Linked DNA regions of Ovis aries. The protein of the gene in region 5 interacts with the protein of the main gene of each other region in a pairwise test. Links are inferred from orthologs where the notes say so. Each region holds a gene or a part of one and is shown on either strand. Other genes may lie near its edges.

The links.
Region 1: the proteins of SNCA (region 5) and SDF4 interact in a two-hybrid assay, tested with the Homo sapiens proteins (2 studies listed by BioGRID and IntAct). The link is inferred for Ovis aries from reciprocal best matches to the Homo sapiens genes SNCA and SDF4.
Region 2: the proteins of SNCA (region 5) and ARFGAP3 interact in binary tests that used the Homo sapiens proteins (3 or more experiments, as listed by UniProt). The link is inferred for Ovis aries from reciprocal best matches to the Homo sapiens genes SNCA and ARFGAP3.
Region 3: the proteins of SNCA (region 5) and PRKN interact in binary tests that used the Homo sapiens proteins (3 or more experiments, as listed by UniProt). The link is inferred for Ovis aries from reciprocal best matches to the Homo sapiens genes SNCA and PRKN.
Region 4: the proteins of SNCA (region 5) and PDE4DIP interact in a two-hybrid assay, tested with the Homo sapiens proteins (2 studies listed by BioGRID and IntAct). The link is inferred for Ovis aries from reciprocal best matches to the Homo sapiens genes SNCA and PDE4DIP.
Region 6: the proteins of SNCA (region 5) and CSNK1D interact in binary tests that used the Homo sapiens proteins (3 or more experiments, as listed by UniProt). The link is inferred for Ovis aries from reciprocal best matches to the Homo sapiens genes SNCA and CSNK1D.
Region 7: the proteins of SNCA (region 5) and BCL2L1 interact in binary tests that used the Homo sapiens proteins (3 or more experiments, as listed by UniProt). The link is inferred for Ovis aries from reciprocal best matches to the Homo sapiens genes SNCA and BCL2L1.

The regions. Positions count from the first base shown.
Region 1 is NC_056065.1:50,598,832-50,602,329, reverse strand, and holds the end of SDF4 (45 kDa calcium-binding protein), read right to left. Parts: intron 2,310-3,498; coding exon 2,151-2,309; intron 1,947-2,150; coding exon 1,771-1,946; intron 1,040-1,770; coding exon 863-1,039; 3' UTR 501-862; downstream 1-500. UniProt on the Homo sapiens protein: May regulate calcium-dependent activities in the endoplasmic reticulum lumen or post-ER compartment. Isoform 5 may be involved in the exocytosis of zymogens by pancreatic acini.
Region 2 is NC_056056.1:219,584,210-219,587,709, forward strand, and holds part of ARFGAP3 (ADP-ribosylation factor GTPase-activating protein 3), read right to left. Parts: intron 2,219-3,500; coding exon 2,100-2,218; intron 1-2,099.
Region 3 is NC_056061.1:85,560,519-85,564,018, forward strand, and holds part of PRKN (E3 ubiquitin-protein ligase parkin), read right to left. Parts: intron 619-3,500; coding exon 378-618; intron 1-377. UniProt on the Homo sapiens protein: Functions within a multiprotein E3 ubiquitin ligase complex, catalyzing the covalent attachment of ubiquitin moieties onto substrate proteins. Substrates include SYT11 and VDAC1.
Region 4 is NC_056054.1:97,837,343-97,840,842, forward strand, and holds part of PDE4DIP (myomegalin), read left to right. Parts: intron 1-909; coding exon 910-1,053; intron 1,054-2,145; coding exon 2,146-2,284; intron 2,285-2,582; coding exon 2,583-2,629; intron 2,630-3,492; coding exon of another isoform or gene 3,493-3,500. UniProt on the Homo sapiens protein: Functions as an anchor sequestering components of the cAMP-dependent pathway to Golgi and/or centrosomes.
Region 5 is NC_056059.1:35,535,625-35,539,587, reverse strand, and holds the start of SNCA (alpha-synuclein), read right to left. Parts: upstream 2,801-3,963; coding exon 2,680-2,800; intron 1-2,679. UniProt on the Homo sapiens protein: Neuronal protein that plays several roles in synaptic activity such as regulation of synaptic vesicle trafficking and subsequent neurotransmitter release.
Region 6 is NC_056064.1:50,108,909-50,112,408, forward strand, and holds part of CSNK1D (casein kinase I), read left to right. Parts: intron 1-14; coding exon 15-125; intron 126-3,500. UniProt on the Homo sapiens protein: Essential serine/threonine-protein kinase that regulates diverse cellular growth and survival processes including Wnt signaling, DNA repair and circadian rhythms. It can phosphorylate a large number of proteins.
Region 7 is NC_056066.1:60,937,206-60,941,281, forward strand, and holds the start of BCL2L1 (bcl-2-like protein 1), read right to left. Parts: upstream 2,801-4,076; 5' UTR 2,761-2,800; coding exon 2,197-2,760; intron 1-2,196. UniProt on the Homo sapiens protein: Potent inhibitor of cell death. Inhibits activation of caspases. Appears to regulate cell death by blocking the voltage-dependent anion channel (VDAC) by binding to it and preventing the release of the caspase activator, CYC1, from the mitochondrial membrane.

The DNA.
Region 1 (3,498 bases), on a different chromosome or scaffold from region 5:
CAGTGTGTTATCTCCTCCACCCCACATGCCAGCCACGCACCAGGCACAGCAGACCCTGGGAAGGAGCCAGTAGAGGACCTGTCGCCTCATCTCCCCCACTGCAGGCTCCCAACTCCCCAGCCTCACCACAACCCCCGGGACTGCTCCTCCCCATCTCCGGCAGAGAGCCCCAGGCCAGGACTCCTGTGCTTTCCAAACTCTGTGAGTGCCCCTAGTTCTCTACCCCCATCCCTGGGAGCGCTCATCCTCAGAGTCCCCCTCCGTCCTAAAGTCCCATTTTCTCCTGGTCCCTCCCAGGTGGCCTCACCCAGGCCTGGACTCTCGCTCCTGACTTTAAATTGGCAGCTGAGGCCCCACCCGATCACAGGTGAATGTCAACGCTAGGAAGCCCCGGGTTCTAACCAAACCGCCCACCACAAAACTTCAAGGGGAAGCCGCCTGGCCACAAACATCCCAAGTAATCGTCTACGTGGTTTTTTTTCCCACCAAAACAATGAAGCTGAGAGAAAAAGGCAACTATATTTTGAAGTAAATTAATGTGATTCCTGTCACCAATATTCATGCTCCTCAGAGACTGACGGCCACGGGCCGGTGGCTCTCACAGCCCCACCCAGCACCCCGCCCCACCCCGGCCACTGGCTGCCGGTTTCCAGCAAAGTTTCACCTTTCAGTTTTCGAGGGAATGGCAGGAGCTCCGTCGTTTCCCACGGTGGGGGAGCCCACCGCCCTGATGTGGTCAGTGCCTCCGGCAGTGGGGCTCTGAGTTCTCAGAAGCGAGATGCAGCGATTACACTGGAATCAGGGTGCGGGCAGCCCGCGGGGTGCTGCGGGGGCAGGAAGGGGGCGGGGGTGCGGTGGCGGCTCAGAACTCCTCATGCACGCTGCGGGCGTAGTCCACCAGCTTGCTGCCCGTGAAGAACTCACTGTACTTGAGCACCTCCTCAGGCTCCAGGTAGTGATTCTGGTTCTCGTCAGCGATAGCAATCATCTGCTTGGCCTCATTGAGGGCGCTGAACTCATTCATGGGGTCCATGTAGTCCTGCAAGGGCAGCGGCTCAGCCCCGACGCACCCCAAACCCCTCCGGGCCAGGGGCATCTCCTCAGGTTCAGGCCACACCCAGCTATGCAACCAAGACCCCCTTGAGGACACCCTGCACTCATGGGGCACCTACGCCTTGGCTACAGCAGGCGGAGGCTGGTCTGTAGTACCCATTGGCTGGTAGGACAGAAGCTGTGGAGCCAGGAGGTGGGCCTGTTCTGGAAGGCGGGCACCAGGCTGGAAGTGGCTCAGGGCCAGGCAGCCTCCACCTGTGTGGGCACCTCCCTGCTCATATCAGGGTGTCCAGCCACAGAAGGGCAGGGTGAAGGGAGGCCCCGAAGCGGGGCACATGCACACCAACCGCCAGGACGGCAGTGCTGACAGGCAGGAGTTCCCAAACCAGACATCCTACCAGCTATGAGGAGGGGTCAGGGGATTCTGGAATAAAATGCAATGACTCATCCAGCCACGGGAGGAAACAAGGCCATGCAGCACCTACACACGACGCCAGGGAAGACACTGACAGGCAGGCAGTGGGTCCAGCCTGTGCACAGCCCTCCCGCCCCAGAGTCTGGCCAGACTGCCCATGGGGGACAGCACACCTGGGCCCAAAAAGGGGAGCCCATGACATCGGCTGCATGGCCCAGCTCGGAGGCTCCAGTTCCCCTGACCAGTGCCCAGCCACCGCCAGATCAACTCTGCCTCCCAGCACAGGATGGCCCCACACCCACCTCCAGCTCTGCCATGGTCACGATCCCATCATGGTTGGCGTCAATCAGCTCCTCGAACTCTCTCTTCCTGTCCCGTACCCAGCCGTCATCAACATCCTGGCCCTGCTGGTTCTCCACGGTGCCCACGGGCAGAGAGATGAACTCAGACAGCGAGAGCTTCTTGTCACCATCCTGGTCTGTGGGACAGGAGGGCAGATGTCAGAATCCAGTGGGCACAGGACCACCAAGGCCACTCGGGAGAAACTCAGCCAATGGGGCTTTGTCATCAGGTTTTCAATCTGTGTGGTCTCAGCGTGACTGAGAGCAGCGAGCACACAGTCCCCCAAGCCACCCACCCAGTCTAGGACCAGCCCAGGCTGACCTCCGCGGCCAGGCCTCACCCAGGTCCCGGATGATCTCCTTGACCATGAACTGCAGCATGCCGCGGCTGTGCTCAGGGTGCAGGAACGATAGGAACTCGCTCTCTGTCAGCAGCAGGTCCGGGGGCGGATTGTCCGCCTGATACCAGCGGTCTTTGAGGTTCTCCAGGACTTCCTGTGCTGAGAGAGGTGTGTCCGTGAGGACCCAGGCACACAGGACCACTGCAGACATCTGGAAAGTTTTGAGACGCACAGCCCAAGAGAAGGGGGCAGCTCGGGACACAGAGGTGCCGGGACAAGGACTCGGCCCTCAGAGGGGAACTCAGCCCCCAGAGAACAGATGCCCAGGCCCCCAAGACGCAGACACAAACTCTCAACTAAAGAGGCCCCCCAACCCGGACATAGACCCCTTCAGACACAGACCCCTCCACCCCAATGTAGCCCCACCCCTACTCGCTCCTGGGCAGTGGAAAAACTGCGGCAGGCCACCAGCTCTGCAGGAACCAAGGCACAGCTTGATTCCTTCCTGTTTCCTCCCGTTCACTGGGCAGCGCTCTGAAGGAAAACCCAGTCTCCAGAGATGAGTCATGTGTCCCCCAAGTGACACTCACTCCCCCTGCCATGAGAAGGCCCAATGCAGGGAGCGGGGACCCTGGAGGCCAGTGGTCAGCAATGATCTGCGTGTCCAGTGAGGGAGGGGGAAAAGCAAGCGCAGTACACCCAAAGCCTGCAAACGAGACCTGATTTGGAAAGGTCTCTGCCGATATAACTGGTGAAAGGTCTTAAGGTGAGACCACTGGGATTCAGGTGGGCCCTCAGCTCAGGTGTCCTCGTGCAGGAGACAGAGACTGGAGCGCAGTGGCCAGGAGCGGGGACCTGGGGGAGCCTGTCTGGGTACACTGGGACAGCAGCCTTGGGTACCCACAGGGGCTCACCAGCCAGCCCTCCCCCGATGCACTCTAGGGTCTCTGGGCACCCCGACACTGCTCTTCACTTCTGATCCCCAGATCTGCGCACCCCCGCCCAGATGCACAAGCACACAGTCTGCTGAGGGCTGTGCAGACAGAGACTCCACAACCTCTAGATACAGGAAGGACACATCCTGACCCACACACACCTCAGGGAAAGGGCGCTGAAGACAACCAGACAGAGATGACTGGCAGCTGCCTGAGAAGCCAGCACCAAATCTCCAATGCTAACAGGAGAACCAGGCCCCCAGCCACCTCTGAAGGACACCTTCAGGGGACTGTCTGAACCACAGGAAAACAATGGAAACACAAAATGGAAACATATAAAAATAGGAATAAAATAGGTTTAAAAAAAACAGCAGAACCAAAACCCTGGGTGGCATCACCTGCACAGGAAGGGG
Region 2 (3,500 bases), on a different chromosome or scaffold from region 5:
CTATTTGGATTATTTTTTCCCAATGAACTAATGTTTGTAATTTTTTTTTAAAAAATCAACGAAAAATGTTTAAAGAGCAGCCCTCCACCTCTGAAAAAAAAATCCTTAAATACCCTTATCATCCTTGACTTTCTCCTGCCCAAATCCTCGACTGCTGCCCTCAGTCATACGTACAGAGACTTTTTTTCCCTTAATGGCTGTTTTTGAATCGTGTACAAGCATCGTGATTCACCCGGTTATATTTATCTAACTTTCCAAGGGTGGTGATTAAACCAGCAACAGCCCAAAGAGACCCTGCTGTCCAGTCTCGTCAGGCTCTCAGTCAGCCCTTCCCTCAGCTGGGGACACGTCAGAAAGCCACCTCGTTTCCTGGGATGGTTTAAACTGGCAGTGCGCTGTGTGGTGGGGAAAAGGGAGGGCCGGCTCTGGTGGGTGGGGCCGAGCAGAGAGGAGGAGAGCCACTGGCACACAGAGTCTGGGCATCTGGAGCTCTGGGCAGAGTGGGTCACCATGTGTTACCTGGTGACAATCGACCTGGGGGGGAAAAGTACATGCAGATACACTTGCCGTGGCAACCACACCCCTCCACATTTGAAAAAGATACGAGGACCGGAGAGTGTGTTAAAAAATATCCTGTGTCTAAGGAACAAGAAAGTATAAGAAGAACACACAAGAGAATTCCCTTCCCTAAATCATTGCCTATGGAGTTAAAACAGCTATAATATTGAACGCATTCTGCTCCCATGGACGGAGGAGCCTGGTAGGTTACAGTCCATGGGGTCTCGAAGAGGCGGACACGACTGAGCGACTTCGCTTTCACTTTTCACTCTCATGCATTGGAGAAGGCAATGGCAACCCACTCCAGTGTTCTCGTCTGGAGAATCCCAGGGACAGAGGAGCCTGGTGGGCTGCTGTCTATGGGGTCACACAGGGTCGGACACGACTGAAGCGATTTAGCAGCAGCAGCAGCAGCTCTTATAAACTGATTTCTGAGAAAAAGAATTCATGAGAGCATATAAAGAAAGCTTTTTAGGTTAATATAGTAAAAAATTATAATATTAATAGGTTAGTCTACGGGAACAAATACTCTTTGTGGTAATCATGTTGTAGGATCAATGTAGTCCTTAAGTCCTAACAGGCAGGGCAACAGGTGAACTGACTAGGGGAGGCCAGCCACGGGGAGATCTGAGCCCCAGGGGTGCCCTGCAGAGGCAAGGCCTACTTGAGTGCACGTCCTGTTTGGCTTGCAAGCCCAGAGCCTGCCTGGGGATCCTTATCTCAATGTATTTAACTTCACACAAGGGCACATCCAGCTTCCCACTGGAATGCGGGGTACCTTTAGTACCCACAAAGGCCCCACAGAGGGTCAGAGTAGAGGCAGGTAATCCCTAGAGGAGCCCAGACAACACATATGTGCAGGTTAAGAAAAAAGGCTTCACACTGCACACATCTTTCATACAACAATCATTCCCTCCAGCTCTATTAATGTCCTTGGGAGCCTGAGCTGTTGGATTATGCTAGAGGCGAAACCCAGCTCCGAGGGTCCCCCTGACTTAACTATAGCTGAAGGAGTGATGGACAGACAGAACCCCCTGTCACCCAGGAGGGGTCAGAGCAAGACTCCCATGTGCTGCTAATCATCAGAAGGTAAAAAAGGAAAAGGGGGCGACAGAGGTTGAGACGGTTGGATGGCATCACCGACTCGATGGAGATGAGCTTGAGCAAACTCCAGGAGATGGTGAAGGACAGGGAGGCCTGGTGTGCCGCAGTCCGTGGGGTCGCAGAATCAGACACAACTGAGCGACTGAACACAACAACAAAGGAAAAGGACCCTAGACCCTGGGACCCTGCCTCAGACCCTAGATTCCGACTGTGTCTTCAACACCACTGCCTCGGCTCTTGGGCCGGGCTCTACAGAACAGCAGCTGAATAGAAAATTACTCATTTTCCCAGTTTACTCAGTTACCGGTAGACTTAAATCTCCATGACTCGACCTACCTCTCTTGTTACTTGACGGCAAAGCAAATGTAAAGGAAAAGGGGAGAGAGACCCATGGGACATTGTACTCATCCCTGCCCCCAGGAGAGAGGCCCGCTTACCGAATGAAACTCAGGTGGACGCCCAGGGACCGGTGGCCCCCTGAGCAGTCGATGCACAGGAATACCCCGTAGGTGATGCTGGCCCAGCTGGGGTTCTTGGCACCACAGTCAAAACACACCTGAAAGAAAAGTTCAAAACTCAGTCACCAATTGATTCTTGTTGGCCAGATCAGCCATCCTATAGGACAATAACAGGATTTGGCTTGAAAACTGCTTAAGCCTCACAATTTAAACTGATTATTAGAGGGAATTCCTTGGTGGTACAGTGATAAGGACTCAACGCTTTCACTGCTGGGCCCTGGGTTCAAGCCATGTTCAGGGAACTAAGACCCCATAAGTGGTGCGATACAGCCAAAAATAAATTAATAAACAAACTGGCTACTAGAAAAAAAATCTCACCTCGATTTTTTTTTAAAGGCTCAAATTTCTACTTCATTTATGATGATATTATTATACTACACATATTATATAAATAGAAATATTAATACAATGCATTAATTACATAATAAATTACATGTTACTGTATATCTATTATAACACGTCCCTGGTGGCTCAGTGGTAAAGCATCCACCGGTAGTGCAGGAGACGCGGGAGACACGAATTCCACCTCTGGGTCGGGAAGATCCCCTGGAGGAGGAAATGGCAATTCCGGTATTTCTTGCTGGGAAAATCCCATGGACAGAGGAGCCTGGTGGACTATGGTCCATTGGGTCACAAAGAGTTGAAGAACACATACAGGTTATTATAACACTCAGCGGTATGTGTAGTGAACTCAGGTGTGTTTATCATCTCCAATACGACGCATGCATGAAGCGTCAACAGGGCTCCTCCCCCGTCACGTGAACAAACACTAGACACGAATATCCTGCTGGAAACGCCCAGCGCCTTACAGTCTCCTGGGCAGCGGCTCTCCACTAGATGGCAGATGTTCACGCATGTTTCTTTCCTCCTAAACCAGAGGAGGCGGAGAGCATGGTAGCCAGACTCCAGGATGCCCCTGGGATCCTGCGCTCCTGGTCCTAAGTGAAGCAAAGTCGCTCAGTTGTATCCGACTCTTTGCGACCCTATGGACTGTAGCCCACAAGCCTCCTCCATCCATGGAATTTTCTCGGCAAGAGTACTGGAGTGGGTTGCCATTTCCTTCTCCAGGGTGGGGTTTCTCTTGTGGCTCAGCTGGTAAAGAATCCATTTGCCATGTGGGAGACCTGGGTTTGATCCCTGAGTTGGGAAGATCCCCTGGAGAGGGGAAAGGCTACCCACTCCAGTGTTCTGGATTAGAGAATTCCATGGACCATGGAATATATAGTCCATGGGATCGCAAAGAGTTAGTCCGACACAACTGAGCGACTTTCACTTCACTTCACTTCTCCAGATCTTTCCGACCCAGGGATCGAACCCAGG
Region 3 (3,500 bases), on a different chromosome or scaffold from region 5:
GTAAATAAGCACAGAAGAAAAGAGAAAGGCGCAACTGAGAGGGATATACAGTGCGCATATTGTGAGCCCAGCACAAGGCGTCCCATGAGTCCATCACCCCTAGAACCACCAAACGAACAAACGAGGACTATCACTACGGGCCTGACACTTTGCTCATCCTTTATGTTCATTCCTAACTGGAAAGCTCTGCTTTGCCGTTCTTGTTAAATGCGTCACCTCAAATCTTAGAGTAACAAGACTCTCCTTCTAGCCATGCCGCCTTCCACTGATTTAGAGCGTGTTGTGATCTAGGTATTCACACACAGAGTGAGGCTGCTCTCTGCGGAGACTTCAGCACGCAGAACCCGGCGCGAGGCACGGAGAGAGGCATCGGGTACCTGGCCTGCGGGTGGACGAGGCGCCGCCCTCCTCGCTGTCCTGCAGTATCACAGCCAGGCCCACCGAGTCGGCGGGGAGCACCGAGCTGCTGAGGTCCACGCGAGTCAGGCTCTCGGGCTCCCTGTCAGAGCGCCCCCAAGCGGGCCGCGGGCTGTCCCCCCGAGGTGGGTGCCCTTCTGGGTCTTTTCTCCGCGGTCTCAGCACAATGTGAATGATGCTCTGCTGATCCAGGTCACAGCTCTGAGTGAGGGAGACAAAATCACAAGAATGAGCAGGCGCTGAAGCACAGGTGGCGCTGAACTTGTCTTCAGTTCTACACAGCAATATGCTTCAAAACTGATTCACCAGAAACGGCATGCCCTTATCATTATCAAATTTAAATACTAGCACCCCTTTCTGTATTTTTTATCCCCCTTTCTGTTTTTTAAAAAGTACAGAGAGTTTGTTATTACCAATGACAGGGCAATTTTCTCTAGAATTTACAATACACTTATTTCCAGTAGACCCCACAAATACTCCAAAACCACTAGCAATCACCAGCAGGCCAATGAAGTCAGAGGAGAGGTTACCCACACTATTCTGATCTTTCACTGTTTCATCCCATCTCACAATTAAAACCAGTGAACATCTAGAATAACGTTCTGCAACTATATCCTGATTTGTATAACCACAGCTAGCATCATTCCACTGGTGGAAAACTGAAAGCATTTCCTCTAAGACAAGGAACGAAACAAGGATACCCACTCTCGCCACTTCCATTCAACATGGTTTTGTACGTCCCAGCCATGGCAAGCAGAAAAGAAACAGAAAAAAAAGAATCCAAACTGGAAAAGAAGTAAAACTGTTGGTGTTTGCAGGACATGATACTACACATAGAAAATTAAAGATGCTACCAGAAAACCATGAGAGCTCCTCAATGAATCTGGGAAAGATGCAGGGGGGGGAAAAAATAATAATAACTCATGGGAATCTCTCACAATCTGATATACTAACAAGAAAAGAACAGAAGGAGAGATTAGGGAAACAATCCTATTTAATATCACAACAAAAAGAATAAAATGCACAGGAGTTAGGAATAAACCTACCTAAGAAGAAAAAAACCTGTACTCAGAAAACTATAAGATACTGATAGAAGCAATCAAATACAAAAGAAACAGAGGGAGAGATACAGCATGCTCTTGGATTGGAAGAATCAGTATCACGAAAATGACTACACTACCCGAAGCGCCCTACAGATTCAATACAAGGCCTGTCAGATTACCAACGGCATTTTTCACAGAAGTAGAACAAACAATTATACGCTGTTTATGGAAACACAGTAGATCCCAAATAACCCAAGCGATCTCGGGAAAGAAAAAGGAAGATGGAGGAACCGGGCTCCCTGACTTCAGACTATACTACAAAGCTACAGTAATCAAGGCTTTAAAATTCAGTAGAATTAAATCTGGACATCAGCTAATTTGCTAAGACAGAAGCTAGACCCACAAATCACGTCTCAGTTTCAGAATAGCTACCAGGTAGAAACGGTTGCTCATGAGTCTGTCACTTCTCCCACAGAGCAAGGACTCTGCTCTCTCAAACCGCCCCCCATGACTGTCATTCTCCTCCATCTTCGGGAATTTAAAGAACACCCATACAAAATACAACGATACTGGTAACAACTATACACCTCGACGCACCCTCGCGTGCTGCCTTGTCACTATCATACTTTTACAGGGGAATTAACTGTAGTGTATTTTCTATGTCAAAGACAAAAATGGCAATTATTTAGGAAGGCATTTCAAGGTTGTTTTTTTTTTTAATGTGATGGTTAACAAATGTTTCGTATGGCTATTGCGAACAATGAGATACTGTGGTTAAAGACAGCATGAGCTCAGGGCAATCAGTGGGAGTCAGAAGAACCAAAAATCATTCCCACTGCTTTCTCCCTCTTGTGTTCTCGGTCACCTCCACAGTGATGAATGAACACAAACGCCAATTTATATTAATGGGATGAGAATAAAAACTGTTCCTTCGACTTGATCTTTCGTTTAAAAAAATACAGACTTTGAAAAGACAGGAACTTTGTGATTTATGCTTTGAATTTATTTCACATTTCTGATGGCTACTTTTCATTATGATCAAAGATATGATACTACACAGAGATATTGAAAGGCCCCCCTCTCTGGTTGCCAAAGGCTGAGGAATACAATTACTGGGAAAGGTCAATTAGCCGCACACTAATTAGCTGCTGTGGGTCTCAGCCCTGTCACCCAGGATGTCCCTCCCACCGCAGGCCCAGGACCGTTTCACTGCTCATTAGGACCTGCACAGAGGGAGCTCTGCAGGGAGGGGCGGGGACAAACAGAGTCAACTGACTGCTCCCCTCAGCTGCGCAGTAAGGGGTTTATTGTGAGAAGAGATCGGCGCTGTTTGCACAGCTGAGTTCTTTCGGGGCTTCCACTCGTCCAAGATCACACTTTCCAAAATACAAAGGACGACAAGCTAGACAATTCTTTGCCTAAAACCAAGTTAAAACTGTTCTCTATTGCAAACTTTATAAGAAATGCCTCCCAAGTGTCCTTTCAAAAAACTAAGATCATGGCATCTGGCCCCATCACTTCATGGCAAATAGATGGGGATTAGAAACAGAGACAGACTTTATTTTCTTGGGTTCCACAATCCATGTAGACAGTGACCGCAACTATGAAATTAAAAGATGCTTGCTGCTTGGCAGAAAAGCTATGACAAACCCAGACAGTGTATTAAAAAGCAGAGGCATTACTTTGCCAAAAAAGGACTGTTTAGTCAAAGCTGTGGTTTTTCCGGTAGTCATGTACAGATGTGAGAGTTGGGCCACAAAGAAGGCTGAGCATTGAAGAATTGATGCTTTCAAACTATGGTGTTGGAGAAGACTCTTCAGAGTCCCTTGAGATCAAACCAGTCAATCCTAAAGGAAATCAGTCATGAATGTTCCTTGGAAGAACTAATGCTGAAGCTGAAACTCCAATACTTTGGCCACCTGATGTGAAGACCTGACTCACTGGAAAAGACCCTGATGCTGGGAAAGATTGAAGGTGGGAGGAGATGGGGATGACAGAGGAGGAGATGGTTGCATCTGACATCACTGACTCAATGGACAT
Region 4 (3,500 bases), on a different chromosome or scaffold from region 5:
AAACTTTGTTCTGTTTTAGATGTAGCTGACTCTCTATTTCCCCTGAGAACCACAGAAAAGTATGTGCAGCATTGCCATCCTCATCAGTAGAGCATGTTAAGCGTCAGCATACTTGCAGTGCTGTTTGGTTCTGTATTATCTGCTAAAGTCACACTGGGATATGATCATTTGTGGGCAGGATAAAATCACTTCATCAGTTGCCTGGGAATTGAGGATTCATCCATATGGGCCAGATGTGTGGAAGGGGTGAGGAGAGTGGCAGCGCTGGATTTCTCTGCTTAGACCGAGCAGGAGAGGAGAGCAGGCCACAAGGCCTCTCAGAGTCTTTCCCCAGGCAGAGACCTAGGTACCAGCCGCTATGCTGTCTGAGCTCCAGGAGCCCCTACACGCGAGAGGGAGGCGAACACCTGAGTCAGCAAATATGACACGGGGCTCCAGGCACAGTGCTGGAAGTGCTGTGGGTGTGATGGAGTGAACCCAGAAGTGGCGATTATCCCAGAAGGAAGGCGACAGGTTCATGGGGGTTAGGGCACCACTAGGGGGTGTGTAGTTCTCTGGGGTGGAGAACATGCCAGGTAAAGGGGTCAGCACTTAGTCCTTTGAGCTACAAATGGCACAGCCCATTTGAAGCATAAGGCCTGATTTAGGGAAGAGGGTGGGAGTACAGTGCAAAAATAGGGACCTTAGATTCCAGAGCAAGAAGCAGAACTAAAAGCTAAAAAGTGTGGAATCAAATGAATTCTTACAAAGTGGGAGGTCCTTGCTGAGGTCAGAGAACCTTGGCTTCCAGGTTAGAAAAATGTCTCACAGGTTCAAGTAAGCCTGTGGCCGTACCTCACTCACAAAGGAAGCCGAGGCCTGTGCTGTCTCAGCCACAGGGATGCCCATGGCTACTGCCCTCTTTCCCAGGTGATGGGTAGCGAAGGCATCCAGGAGCTGAGGAGCAGCGCCACCGCCCTGCACCACCGGCTGGAGGAGTCGGCCTCCCTCCTCACCATGTTCTGGAGAGCAGCCTTGCCAAGCTCCCCTGGCGCTATGCTTGTGGGCAAAGTGGTAAGAAGCCAGCATCCTCTACCGGTTCTGCCCCCAAACTAGCCTTCGACCTCCTCAGCCTGCAGAGCCTGAAGATCAGGAGCTGAATGGGCAGTTGGGACGAAAGGGACATGAGGCATGTGTCCCTGGAGGGAGACCTCTCCTCTGTGGTGAGCGCTATCTGTGCAGGTCTGAAAACATCTCTCTCCTCCCAGCCTGACCCCCAGGATAAGGAGCCAAACAGGAGAAGAAAAGAACATAGAGGAGGCAGAGACATGAGAGCCCTGGTAACCCACAAATGTTCCATCCCTTTAACTTTCTGAAGTTCAGCTGAGCTGAAGTTTGGGGCCATTTAAAACATCAACACCTCCTTTTCCATCCTAAGCCCACTCCCACTCACCTCCAGGTCTGCATAGGCAGACAGGATCACAGAATGTCCCCAGGAGTGGACCAGCCCTTTTTACCCACCCACTGAAATCCCAGAAAAATTTCCACTTAAACCTGTATCTCTGGGTCAAGCCTGTTGAGAGTCAGCCTCCCCCAGGTGCTCTCAGATCTCAGGCCACTCTGGTTGATGATCTTGGATTAGGTAGATTTCAAAATCCCTCCTAGTGTTCTCACTCCAGACTAGTATCAATGATAACTTTAGGGGATCCAACTTTGCTAATTCCAAGGAGGAAGTATTTTACCATCCTGAGGCTGGCAGATATATTTACAGACTTGTAGAACGTCTCAGGCCAGTCCTGTTTCCCCAGGCATAATATTCCTAATGACCAATTTTTGATGCCCAAGTGATATAACTATGTCAGCATTAAATCAGAGCTCTTACTCACAGCTAGGAGTTTCAGTGTGGCCTGGACTCAGGTCCTCTGCAGCAACTGGAGTGTGGCCTGTGCTCCTTTGCATAGGGGCTTCCAGGTCCTCAGTGTTCCCACCTCATGGCCCATCCTGAGCCATCACCTGCTGGAGGGTTTTAGAGGCTTTGATGAGGGAAATCTGGTCCAGAAATACTTGAGAAGATTGTAGAATCCTGTTTGGGATTGTAAAGAGCCACAAATCACAGGATGCTTAAGGCCTTCTGACCACTGACAGAGCACCTATTTTTCTTCCTAGGGAGAGTCTATGAAAAAGGAGCTTCTGGAACTGAGAACCAAACTATCCAAACAGGAGAGTCTCCTTCAGAGTACATCTGAGCGTCTGAAGACCGCCAACCAGCAGAAGGAGAGCATGGAGCAGTTCATCTTCAGCCAGTGTGGGTGCCCTGAGCCAGGGAATGGGACAGGAAATTGGGAGGGCCTTCCTGGCTCCCCACTTGTGCTGTGAATGGACAGCGACCAGAGAGGCTAGGGGATGGGGGAGACTGATGTGAAATCCCTGAACCTCCTGTGCCATCAGTAATCATAGAGGCAGAGGAGGAGATGTGGGGGTGGAGGGGACTAGGAGACCCCAAGCTGAGTGGCCAGAAAGACAAGCTTTAGAACACACACACCCAAGACAGATATGGACCCCACTGGTAATTTCTGCCTTTGGGAACTCTTTTGTTGTTACAGTGACCAGGACACACGATGTTTTGAAGAAGGCAAGGACTAATTTGGAGGTAAGGAAACCACTGCATTGATCAGAGCAAACTGTCACCGTCTGTATCAGAGTGCACAGGTGACTCCTGACTTGCGCTGACCTTCCAAGAGGAAATTTCTGGTCCACCTGTGGGAGCACAGGTTCTCAATGAACATCCCTCTAGATTCCATCCCCATCAGTCCTCCCACCCTAATCAGAAACCTCCCCTGACTTCTCAGTTCACTCTCACTTTGTCATCATCTTCTCTCTTGACCCCAATTCTCTCTCCTTTATGCCATGTCAGGATTGGGGAGAAATGCAGTTCAGTTGATTCTCAAGGTCAGAGGACATATGGGGTCTGCCTCTGAATGAGCTTTCCAGTAAAGGAATCCTGAGGCCAATCATGGGTTCCAGGGTTCCTATGCCACTATATAAAAAACTGATGGAAAGATGCCACCTAACAAGTTGATTTCACTGCATAATATTGGGCTGAAAGCAGCAATTTGATTTTGACATATTTTTCTTTAGGAAACAACATAAGAAAATCATTGGGTCTTATTGATCTAAAAGAGAACTTGGTAATAAGGAAAAACTGAAACTTAAAGGGAAAGATTATCTCATAAGGCAGGCATTCTCTACATTTATTGAAAATACCAATGCATTCTCAAGCAGCCACTTTGAAGAAAAACTTGAGGTGTTAGAAATGGCTTCAAAGTCAAAAGCTAAGCTTTGTACCTTGGGCTTTAAAGCTTTGCCATAATCAGTTGAGCCCATTCCTAGGAATATTCCTAAGTTTTAACCTAAAAAGATGTTGACCCCACAGTATGAAAATGGGTTGGGCCATAATTTAACCCTGATTTTCTTTTTTCCTGCTAATTTCTTCTGATTCCTTTCTTTCCTGAGCCTTTTTA
Region 5 (3,963 bases):
ATCCTTAATGGAAGCTATGGAGTTCGGATGATCATGATGTGTCAATGTAGGTTCAGCAGTTGTAATGAATGTACCATCTGGTAAAGGATGTTGGTAATTTGAGAGGTTATGCATGTGTGGGGTTTGGGGTACATGGGAAACCTCTATATATCAATTTTTCTGTTAATTTAAAACATAAAAATTAAGTCTTTAATTTTTTAAAAGTATGCCTTTTTACTTATAGGTTCGGCTTTATTATGATGTTCTCACAAGAACTCTACAGGGTACTTGCATGTATTCAAACTGTATTTTTACAAATGAGTAAAGTGATGCTTAGATATGTTAAGTACCTTTCCATTATCCTAGAGGTTAAAAAGTGCTGTAGTCTGGACTGGAATTCAAGTTTGACATCAAATCTACATTTTTTTCCTACTTTATCAGGAGTCAGTAAACTATAGCTTATGAGCCAAATAAACTCTCCAGCTGTTTTGGTAAGTAAAGTTTTATAGGAACATAGTCACCCTAATTATTGTTTATGGCTGCTTTCACTTCAGGAGAGCAAAGCTGATCAGCTGAAACAGACATCATACCCTAAAATTATTCACTACCCCTTTAGGGAAAAAGCTTGCCAAAACCTGGTAGTACTATAACTTCACAAGGTCATACTTCATCCTGAATTATGTATTTGTGTTCAACTTTTAATTGACTTTAAAATATCAACTGATAAATAGTATATAGAATGCACTCTGTTAAATACCATAATGAACACTGAAGATTATTTTTTAAAATATGTATACATAAACAAATTGAAATTTCATATAATAATCTCAGAGAAAACAACAGAATTAATCTCTAAAAAATTGTTATTTTATTTGCCCAAACTCATGGGTGAAAATGAAAACAAGTACAATGTTTTCCAGATGATAATCCTGCTTATTACCTGGAAAACAGCACCATGTTAATTTAATAGTCAGTGGTTCTTGGACTCATTCAAAACTAATAAATCAATATTATCCAACTAAAAATATCTTAAAAGTAACTAAGCTATAAAGTAACTGAAATCAAGGAATGGTTACAAAGCATGCACTTGTACAACTTGGAACACTGAGGACAAATATAAAAATACTGATTATCTAAATGTCACTGATTCAGTATTCCAAATTCCACCTAAAAAGATACAATCCACATTTCACAAGAAAAAAACTGAGTTTAACTCATTGACTTTTCCCTCTTGTAAGATCTTTCAATTCAATGATTTTCTGAAAATACATTTTAAGATAAAGAGTAATTTAACTAGAGGTTTGTGGTAAGATTGAACCAAAATAAAAAGTCTATGAACAGTGAGAAAAAATATGAGAAATATTCATAAAAATCATTCCAAGTATAACTTTTCTCCAGTCCATCTCTATTGAAGAGACGATATAGCTTTCCTTCACCCCACAGACATAGACAGAGTATTCTACACAATCCATTATGCTCATCCTCCACTTTATTACTCATCCTTTGGCTACTGGTGCTACACCTGCTACCAGAGAATGTGAGGAAAAGGAGGAAAAGCTCAGAGGAGAAAAGAGAATGGGCAGTGTGTGAGTGTATGCTCATGTGCCCGTTTGTATCCCTATAGATGAGTGTGTGTCTATGTGTATGCCTATTTCTTCACCCAAAGAATTCCAGGTGACTTGTAAAACAACACCCAACCTAACACAGTTCAAGATTAAAAAAAAAGAGTAGGGCTTCCCTGATAGCTCAGTTGGTAAAGAATCTGCCTGCAACGCAGGAGACCCTGGTTTGATTCCTGGGTCAGGAAGAGCCTCTGGAAAAGGGATAGGCTACCCACTCAAGCATTTTTGGGCTTCCCTTGTGGCTCAGCGGGTAAAGAATCCAGTTGAAATGTGGGAGACCTGGGTTCAATCCCTGGGGAGATCTGGGTTCAATCCCTAGGTTGGGAAGATCCCCTGGAGAAGGAAAATGTTATCCACTCCAGTATTCTAACCTGGAGAATCTCCATGGACAGTCCATGGGATCACAAAGTATTAGACAGGATGGAGCAACTTTCACTTCACTGCAAGAATACTCTGATGTGGGAATTTATAAACAAGGAAAAACAGTAAGCATCTAATTTATTGTATCATTTGATAAATGAACTATATAAATGTCTCAGAGATATTAGCAGCCTTCAAGCACTTTCTTGAGCTTAGTCCCCAACTTACCAAGTGGTCACAAGAAGTAACTCCAAAGACTTGTCTGTCCTTTTCTTTTTAGAGTCACAGTAGGTCTCTCTTTACATATCTCAAGATTATATCAACGTCTTACTTTTAAATTAGAATACACTGAAGTTAGCATATATTATTCATGAAGATAAATCAAAAGCTCATGGAGGAGTTTGATTTTAAGATACTATTGAATATTTTCTGAGACTGAGTTTTTAAAAGTGTCCTCAGAGCTATAGTTACTTATGCATAGAAACATTCATTTAAAAAAAGAAAGTCCTAAATATTACTGCAAAATTAAATAGTCTGGAAAAACAAAATAGCCCCACTTTGTATATTAGCTCAAACACACACATTCACCTACTTACACACACCTCTGATTCAGCCCATCACTTTGAGGAGTGGTGAGAAATACCAGCATTTAAAGCATCAATCATCCTAACCCATCAATCCCAAATAAATATCAAAGTGACATTTAGGGCTTACCTACCTACATAGAGAACACCCTCTTTTGTCTTTCCTGCTGCTTCTGCCACACCCTGCTTGGTTTTTTCAGCAGCAGCCACGACTCCTTCCTTGGCCTTTGAAAGTCCTTTCATGAAAACATCCATGGCTAACGAATTCCTTTACACCACACTGGAGAAGACAAAATACACTTTAAGAACTTCTGCGTAAAAAACAAAATTAGAACCACCCAAAGTAAAAACTATTGAAAGATCAGTAGAATCCTCAAAAGAGTGAGATTCTCTTAAGTGTACCTCCATTTCAACCACTGGACAAAGGAGGCTTTTCTTAGCTTTTGCATTAAAAATTTAGCATCTCCCATCCATCTTGGCTGGATAAAGTCTAGCCGCCTAAACATGGATTAGGATGAATCATATGAGCTGTTCTTACGCGTTTCCGAAGTGGAATTGCACGGAAAGATAGACTCCTCTTTTAACTTCCCAGGGTCCAAATGGTGACAGTATAAGTTAGAAGTGCGTTTAGAAGACATCACAGGAAAAGGAAAGGGACCTGAAGGCAGGGGGTCAGGGACACGCTTACATTCCAAAAGGCAGCTAACAGATCAATCACGAATAGGGGAGGGAAGGAACCACTCACTCTGGGTGTGGCTGAACCTCAGGCCAACTGCGAGCCCACCGCCCTCGCTCTAATTCACCCAACCATGCACCCGACCCTGGGCTATCAACCCAGAGCGTGCAGGAGGGCGCGAGTTCACAACCACGGAAGCCTCAGGAGGCGCGCCAGCCACCCGTGGGGGCGTTCTCAGCGCCTGGAACCCGCCCCCTACCCTGCGCCGCACCTGTTAACCCCTTATCACCTGTTGACTCGCCCTCTCAGCGCTCCCACTTAACGATTTGCCAAACATAGCTTGTTTACTTCACAGAGAGAACAGAGAGGGCGGACTAGAGGCGGGGGGCGGTTAAGGAAAGCGACAAACAAAAGTTGAATACTCATACTCCCTGGAGCATCCTCGCGTTTCCCAAAGGAGAAGCTTATCCCTGAGAATCCAGACCTCTCGGCCTCTGAGGACGAGAAGAGGGAAGCAGTCGAAGCAGGAGGCAAACAGGTCAGTTGCCTTTCCTCACGCTCACCCTAGGGATAAGCACTCACCTCTGAGAGAGGCTCGACTACAGCTGGTCCTCGCGGCAGCACGCCCACCCCACCCCCGCGCGCCCCGGGGCGCCCGCAACGACTCTTCTCCCACCAGGTGTTCTCCACGACTTCCAAAGCTGCCCAGTTAGTTCCACAAGCACTTACCAGATTTCCTCGG
Region 6 (3,500 bases), on a different chromosome or scaffold from region 5:
TTTCCTTTGCCAAGGTACGGACATTGCTGCAGGAGAAGAAGTTGCCATCAAGCTTGAATGTGTCAAAACCAAACACCCTCAGCTCCACATTGAGAGCAAAATCTACAAAATGATGCAGGGAGGAGGTAACGATTTTTACCTATTAAGAAAACCAAGGTGGTGTTTGATAAGGGAGATGGCAGATGTCATGAATCACAGTCTGGTTGATTTGGAAAGGGGGCAGGAACGTTCATACCCTTGACCCCATCCTGTGGCTTCCTTCAGATACTATCTGAGAGGCCTGCAAAGGGCCTCACTCGACCAACATCATTTAATGCTCTTTGCATGAATATTCCCTTTCTTAGGTTTTGTTATGTACTGGTGTCTTTGAACACGAGCTTATGTCAGCACTGACATGAAGCTTCCTGCTGATCCTCCTGTGCTGTCTCTGTCACGCTGGCAGCTTTGGGATGGTCCACAGACTCTTCCTCCTGAGTGAGACCCCTTCCAGCTCAGTTACTGTCTCGCTTCTGTGAAACCTCTCCTTGGGCTTGAGGGTATCTGATGTCAGAGAACACCCATCCTGATTTCAGAGTCTCCCTTTTAGAATTCTCTAGACTTTGAGGATGTTTGGCTAATAGAGCAGGAAGGGGTCTTATTGGGGGTCTCAGTTCTGAAGACACTGCAGCATTTTGAAGGGTGTGCCTGTGCTGCTCCCCAGAGAGCTTGGAAAGCCTTGGCACAACCCTGAATGTCTTGAATTTCTCTGGGGACAGGGCTTTGTGTATGAAGAATAGCTCTGTTATTCCCTTCAAGGCAGAAGCCCCCATGATACTTTCAGAGTTGGGGATGGGGGTAGGCTCCTAGGGCTTTGCCAAAGGAAAGCTTGTCTTCAGAGTCTGTGCTGGCACTTTTGTCAAGTGGAAAGGGAGGACTGGTGAGGTGACTTCTTGGCATCTTTGCTTCACAAAGCAGTTTAATCTGTGCTACTACTACCAGAAACCAAATCTGTGCTACTACTACCAGAAACCACCATATCTCTGTTGACATAGCACAAGGAGTCTCTCTAGCAACATATACATCTTAAACAACGTGCAGAGTCCTGTGAGATGATTGCAGAGGGGGTGTCCAGTGCCTCTTGTCCCTGGTATTAAGAGACCAGAAAAAGCTGTAGGTTCTCGGATGGCACATAGACAGGAGACTCCCTGGCCCCTCCAGTGCCCAGGAGAAGTTGACAGAGGACCCTACCGGTGTGTCTACCCTCTGGAGGCCCTCAATGAGCTTCTCAAGCACCAGGTGTGGTCTACACAGCTTTTAAGGTGGTTCTGAATAGGAACAGGTGACTTGAGATATGGCCTTCATGGTGGAAGGAGCTTGGTGATGGGGATTGGATGAAACCTTCTGACTGAAAAGCCTGTGCATTTGAGGAGCAGCATCTCTGGGAACTCAGAAGCTGGGTGCCCAGGGACAGAGGGAAGGAGAAGAACTAATGTCAGGGAGGAGCTATGGAGTAGATTAAGACTCAACAAAGGGAATTCCCTGGTGGTCCAGTGATTAGGACTCTGCTTTCTCCACTAAGGGCACAGGTTCAATCCCTGGTCAGAGAACTAAGATCCTGCCTCAACAGAAAAGAGTTTATTTGGGTTAGAACAGGGTCTCTCCTCCGAAGCATTACTGTTTATAATGGAAGCTGTCTCCTGCATGGAGGACAGAGAGCAGCATCCTAGGTACCAGTAGGCCCTCACCCCCTCCCCCAAGTTGGGGTGATCAGAAATGTCTGCAGATGCTGCTAAACGCCCCTGCGTGTACTTTCCGCTTAGACCCCCTATTTTAGAATGCAAAAGATCACTTACGTTAGTCTTCCCATGCCCTTCCCGTAGGATCATGGAAACCCACCAGAATTCTAGAAAATATATTCTTCTGTCTGACCCTAGCCACACGTAGATCGGGTTTTACTCTTGCTTCAGATATACACTTGGTGAATTCTATCAAGATGTAAATGTTTGTTTTAGAAAACTGATTCTGTCCGGGAGCAGAGAGCTCCATGCTGGTACTGTTTTGTGAGCTTGTCCTAGCTGGGATGGCAAAGGAGATAGAGGCCTCTGCCTGGAAACCTCATAGCTCTCCTGTTGGCCAGCCTTCTGTATCCATCTTAGGTGGTGCATCTCTGATATGGTTTTTTTTCTTTTTATGCTGAGCTCTGGGCTTCTTTGCAGACAATTGATAAATTGACAGCATCATAGGAGAAAACTTGTAGCCCAGGGCTTGCTTTGCCCTCTCTAGCTTGTAGTACAGTGTTGCCTGGGTTGCTGCCTGTTAACAGTGGCCTTGCAGTACTCCACTAGAGAGAGCTGCTGTGCTGGCTCACTCAGGCCACTTAGGGGAGGGGTTGGCATTTAAAAACAACAACAACATGTTTTGGGGTGTGGATGAGGTGGGTGAAAAGTTTCAGTTGTATGGTAGCATTTGGTAACCAGATTTACAGTGGTGATCATCTTTTATAAGTGTATACAAAGATGAAATTATACACTTTGAAACTAATATGTTTTACACCAATTTTACTTCAATAAAAGCAAAAGCAAAAAAAAGACACACTAGTGTCAGGTATTGTTGAAAGTGTTTTTACATGTGCTGGCACGTTCTCCACCACAGTCCTGTGCAGTAGGTATCATCACCCTCATATAATGAATGAAGAAACTGAGGCTGTTTCTAAAGAACACAGATTTGAACATGAACACTGTAGCTCCCAGACCACTCCTACAGAGCAGCCCTCCATGAGGGTCAGCAATCAGGAACAAGCCCCAGATCTAGTTGTGCAATAGATTAAAAAACTTGAAATAGCAGAAATAATTTTAAGTTAATTATGTTGGTGAAGGACTTGGGTGGACACCCAGTTTTTATCAAAACAAAGTGGACTGCCAGGCAGAACCTAGAGGCTGACTGCACTTTCCAGTCCTAAGAACCCCACAAAGTATATTTAGACCACATTCTCCTTGGGAAACCTTCGAGTGGAGATCTTTTGTTTAGGTCAGAGCTACTTCTGGTCGAGGCTTGTGGCGGGTTGGGAGGAGAGGGTGGGCCCTTTGTATGAGAATTCAGGCCAGGGGCAAAGGGTGGGAGCTCTGCACTGATGGTGGGTGAATGCCACCAGTGACTTGGCAGTAGAAACAGGTGGCCTCTCACCCAAGTTCACTCTCATTTTACATGCCTGGTCAGTTCCCACAGTATATTTAAGACAGTTATGATCTTTTTTATTAGGAAAGGTTTTACAGTACCTAAGAACATGTAGAGCTCGTGGCTATTGGAATACTAAAACGAACCCCCAGAACTCCCATGTGCTTGAGAGAGAGAGCAGGAAGGCCTTCGGCACCTGTGTGCCCACCCCAGGACTTCTCTACAGCTGCCCAAAGCCTGTCTGCCCTTGCTTAGTGTGTTTCTATTTTTTTTTCTCCATTATCCTGCAAGAAGTTAGTTTTTTAAAATCTAATGACATTGCCCAGAAACGTTTGGCCATTGTATTT
Region 7 (4,076 bases), on a different chromosome or scaffold from region 5:
CCAGTGTGCAGCTCAAACAGAATGGTCCCCGAGAGGAAGTGGGCGGCACCTTCTACCCAAAGGATCCCAGTGTCACATGTTCTCTATCTCCTGGCCTCGGGAAGAACACGTGCCCAGAAACGGTTCTGATATAACTGGCTCTTCTGCACACATCCCCTCTGTCCACCAAGAGGAAGTAACACATGGTATGCTGTTGGGCAAAGAGACAGCAGAAGATGGAATGTCAATCCAGTGGTGATCTAATGATCTTGCCCAGTGTTGCTGTGTCAAAGACCTCTTTCCACACGCAACACTGGGTGACTAACAACTCTCTGGTCCAGGTGGCCCTCTTAGACAACTGGCTGGCAGGCCAGGAACCTCTCCCATGTTGCCTTTTGTTAACAGTTGGCCACAACCCACATGGAATTAGGACCACCAGCCAGAGATAACAGTGAGGGGCAAATGGCCCAAGTCTCTACTTAGGCCTCAGAGGGTGTGTCAGAAACGCTGGAATCCTGTCCCTCCTGTAGTAAGTTAAACAAATATTTGCCCCTAAAGAAAATCAAAGCAGGAGGGAAAAAGAGAGGTCATCACACAAACCAACAGGAACTATTTAATCATTTATTCCCCCAGGGAGTTCATTTACTGAAAGGCTTTCAAGTTGGGTCAGTCTGAGCCAAAGAAAGCCCTCCACCTTTACCTTCCCAGCCCCACCCCGGTCATCTGACCTCTACTCTGCTCTTTATAAGAACTGGCAGTGGGAAGAGTTGATGAAGTTGCAAAGAAATGGGAAATAAGACAGGGGGTGGTGTACCTGGAGGTCCCTTGCTCAGTGGTAAACTGAAGTGGCTGCCACACCCTAGGCCCAGCCTCTGGATAATTGCATTCTTAACATTCCTGAGTCCATGGTGCGTGGCCCTTTCCACCTCAGCTCCTTCAATAGATGACTTATTTTCCACAGCCTGCTCAATTTTCTGAAGGACAGAATGAATACCTCTCTTAAGCCCTACACCTCCCTGAGGCAGGGAGATAAGCGAGGAGATATGACTGAGTTCACTGCAAGAGAGCAAAAGCTGCTGACAGTGACCACAGGTAAAGAATCCCTCCACACCAGCTCATCCTGACTTGGTGATATCAGGGCAAGGGAATTCTCTTCCCTGGCAAAGGAATGAGGCACGACTCAGTTTCAGAAGGTGTACCTGGATCTGACAGTAACTACTAGAGCAAACTTCCTGTCACTATGCTCACATCAGCTCCAAGATTTACAAGGACTGCAAGGCAAGAGGGTTGGCCACATTTTTTTAGTGGAAGAACCTGAGGCTCAAGGTAAACTGGCCTGTCCAAGGTCACACACCTAGTTAAGTGACAGGGCTGGGACTCACATCTGTGTCAGTTTGTTTCTGAAGTCTGTCACTGAATCTCAATGTCCCAAGGAGCCCCAAAGATCAGGTTCTTGCATTGCCAGCAAACAGTGCTCAGTGAAGAGGCCCCAGGGCCATGGCAGAAAAGTGACAAGCATAACAGCTGGAGCTCCCCAACCAACCCAGGCAGTGAGGTGCAAAGTCCCTGGGCTGACAGCAAGCGCTCCGCAAACTGGCCAACCACACAGAAAAGTCGCATACTTTAGAGCCAATAAATATGGGGCACAGCACAAACACAACTGGCCCATTGGCGCAGCTTACAACCTAAAATCAGACAATCCTCAGCCATCCAGAGGGATGCAAAGCCAGGCCATGCAAACTCTGAAATAAGGGGAACCTGATTTGGAGGAGGGAAGCCCAGGACAGGATTGACAGCTCAAGGGAGTAAGACTGAAGGGGCTGGTGGGTCACTGATATTCACTATCTTCTCCAGGCATTCCACTCATCACCCCTTAACGTTGTGAGCCATTATGTCAGGGTGAGGGGTAACCTGTTACCTTTGCATTCTCAAAGGTTTGGGGCCAAATGAACACACAGGCTATGTTATCTTCTGCAGAGAAACTGGAACACAAGTATGACAGAGTAGGGTCACGAGGAAGACCAGAATGAAGATGTCTGGTCCTCACAGAACTAGGTCATCTGTATTTCAGAAGTTAACCTCTGTGATACAAAGAGGCCAGTTATGTCTCCTTAACAAACAATAATAATCACCCAGCACAACAGACACAGGGGAAAGGTTGTTGGGGATTTGACCAGAAGCCAAGGAAAAGGAATACATAAGGGGCGTGGTTCTTACCCAGCCGCCGTTCTCCTGGATCCAAGGCTCTAGGTGGTCATTCAGGTAAGTAGCCATCCAAGTTGCGATCCGACTCACCAATACCTGCATCTCCTTGTCTACGCTTTCCACGCACAGTGCCCCACCGAAGGAGAAAAAGGCCACAATGCGACCCCAGTTCACCCCGTCCCGGAAGAGTTCATTCACTACCTGTTCAAAGCTCTGATATGCTGTCCCTGGGGTGATGTGGAGCTGGGACGTCAGGTCGCTGAATGCCCGTCGGTACCTCAGTTCAAACTCATCGCCTGCCTCCCTCAGGGCTTGCTTCACCGCTGCCATGGGGATCACTTCCCGGGCATCCAAGCTTCTGCTGTGGCCGGTGGCTCCATTCACCGCAGGGCTATCCGCCAGGTGCCAAGATGGGTTGCCATTGATGGCACTGGGGGTTTCCATATCTGATTCTGTCCCTTCTGGGGCCTCAGTTCTGTTCTCTTCCACATCACTAAACTGACTCCAGCTGTATCCTTTCTGGGAAAGCTTGTAAGAGAGAAAGTCAACCACCAGCTCCCGGTTGCTCTGAGACATTTTTATAATAAGGATGGGCTCCACCAGTCCATTGTCCAAAACACCTGCTCACTCACTGGGTCTGGTCTCTGCTTAGTGGTTCTCTTCGAAGATCCAAAGGCAAGACAAGGTTCTGAAGGGAAAGAAAGAGCTTCAGGGGGGAAAAAATGAATATGCAAGCCATTTACCTACAATATCCCATTCCCCACTCCAGGTACTTGAACTGGGTTCTCTGCCGCTCTTATGAAGATATGGGTCTAGCTTCCCAGGTACTTCGATGAAGTCAATTTGAAAGCACCAGTGGGCTCTGAATCATCACACCGGCCTTTTTTTCCTCCCCTTTTATCCCAGCCACCCCCTTTTCTCTGAAATGTCTTCCTCGAAAAGTCACCCCCATGGGCAGTCTGCCCCCCACCCCCATAAACCCTCACCACCTACATTCAAATCCGTCTCAGGCGACGGCAGGCAGGTGCAGCCCCCGGAAGATCTTTTGTATCATAGGTGGGAGAGGAGGTGGCAGCGGGGATGCCGGTAAGTCAACCGGCCTCGCGGCGGCGGCTGGCAAAAAAAGCAGCTCCGGCTGGAGGGATCATGCGACCCGGCGAACTGAGAGCTCAGGAGGCGACACAGGAATTACGAAGCTCAAGAACCGGCCCCCTCGCTTGCTTCCTCCTCCATCGCCCCGATCGAGGGCGGCCGCTGCCGCGGCCTCCTGCCACCCGGGAGCCCAGCCCCCTCGCTCTTGCACGCCCCTTGGCTCTCCGCCTCCTACTGGGAGCTAGGAGAACTCTCTCGGAGGTGGCTGGTGTGAGCTTTAGTTTTTTTTTTTTTTTTTTTCTATTTCAGTATCAGCCCTGGGTGAGGCTTCCGAAGAAACCTTGAAGGGACTTCTCGATGGGGCTCAAGGTTTCGATGAGAAACAGAGGGAGGGGAACACTGCCTTGGATCTGCGGTCTGAGTTTGGAAAGGCCATCCCCGGGCCTTTCTGGGAGGCTGAAAGCCGGAGACCCCCCAGAAACGCCGCTGGCTTTCTTTGAATTCCCCAAAGGCCCTGGTAGTGGCGGTGGCAGTGGGGGATTGCCGGGTCCTCCATTCCCCGCACGGACACAATGGCCGCCGGCGCCCTGCACAAAGACCGGGCGAGGGTGAGGCGCCGAGCCTCTCCACCGGTCAGAGACAAGGGTCGAGGCCTGCTCGAGACCCCCCACAGCTGAGACTACGTTTTCCTGGGGACAGGCCCAGGCTGGCTTCTTGGCACCCCCGGGAGCTTAGGGGCCCGGGGTTGCACCTCTCTAGAGGCCGGGGTGGGTGGGCTGCGGCCTCGCGGCTTCCTCCGC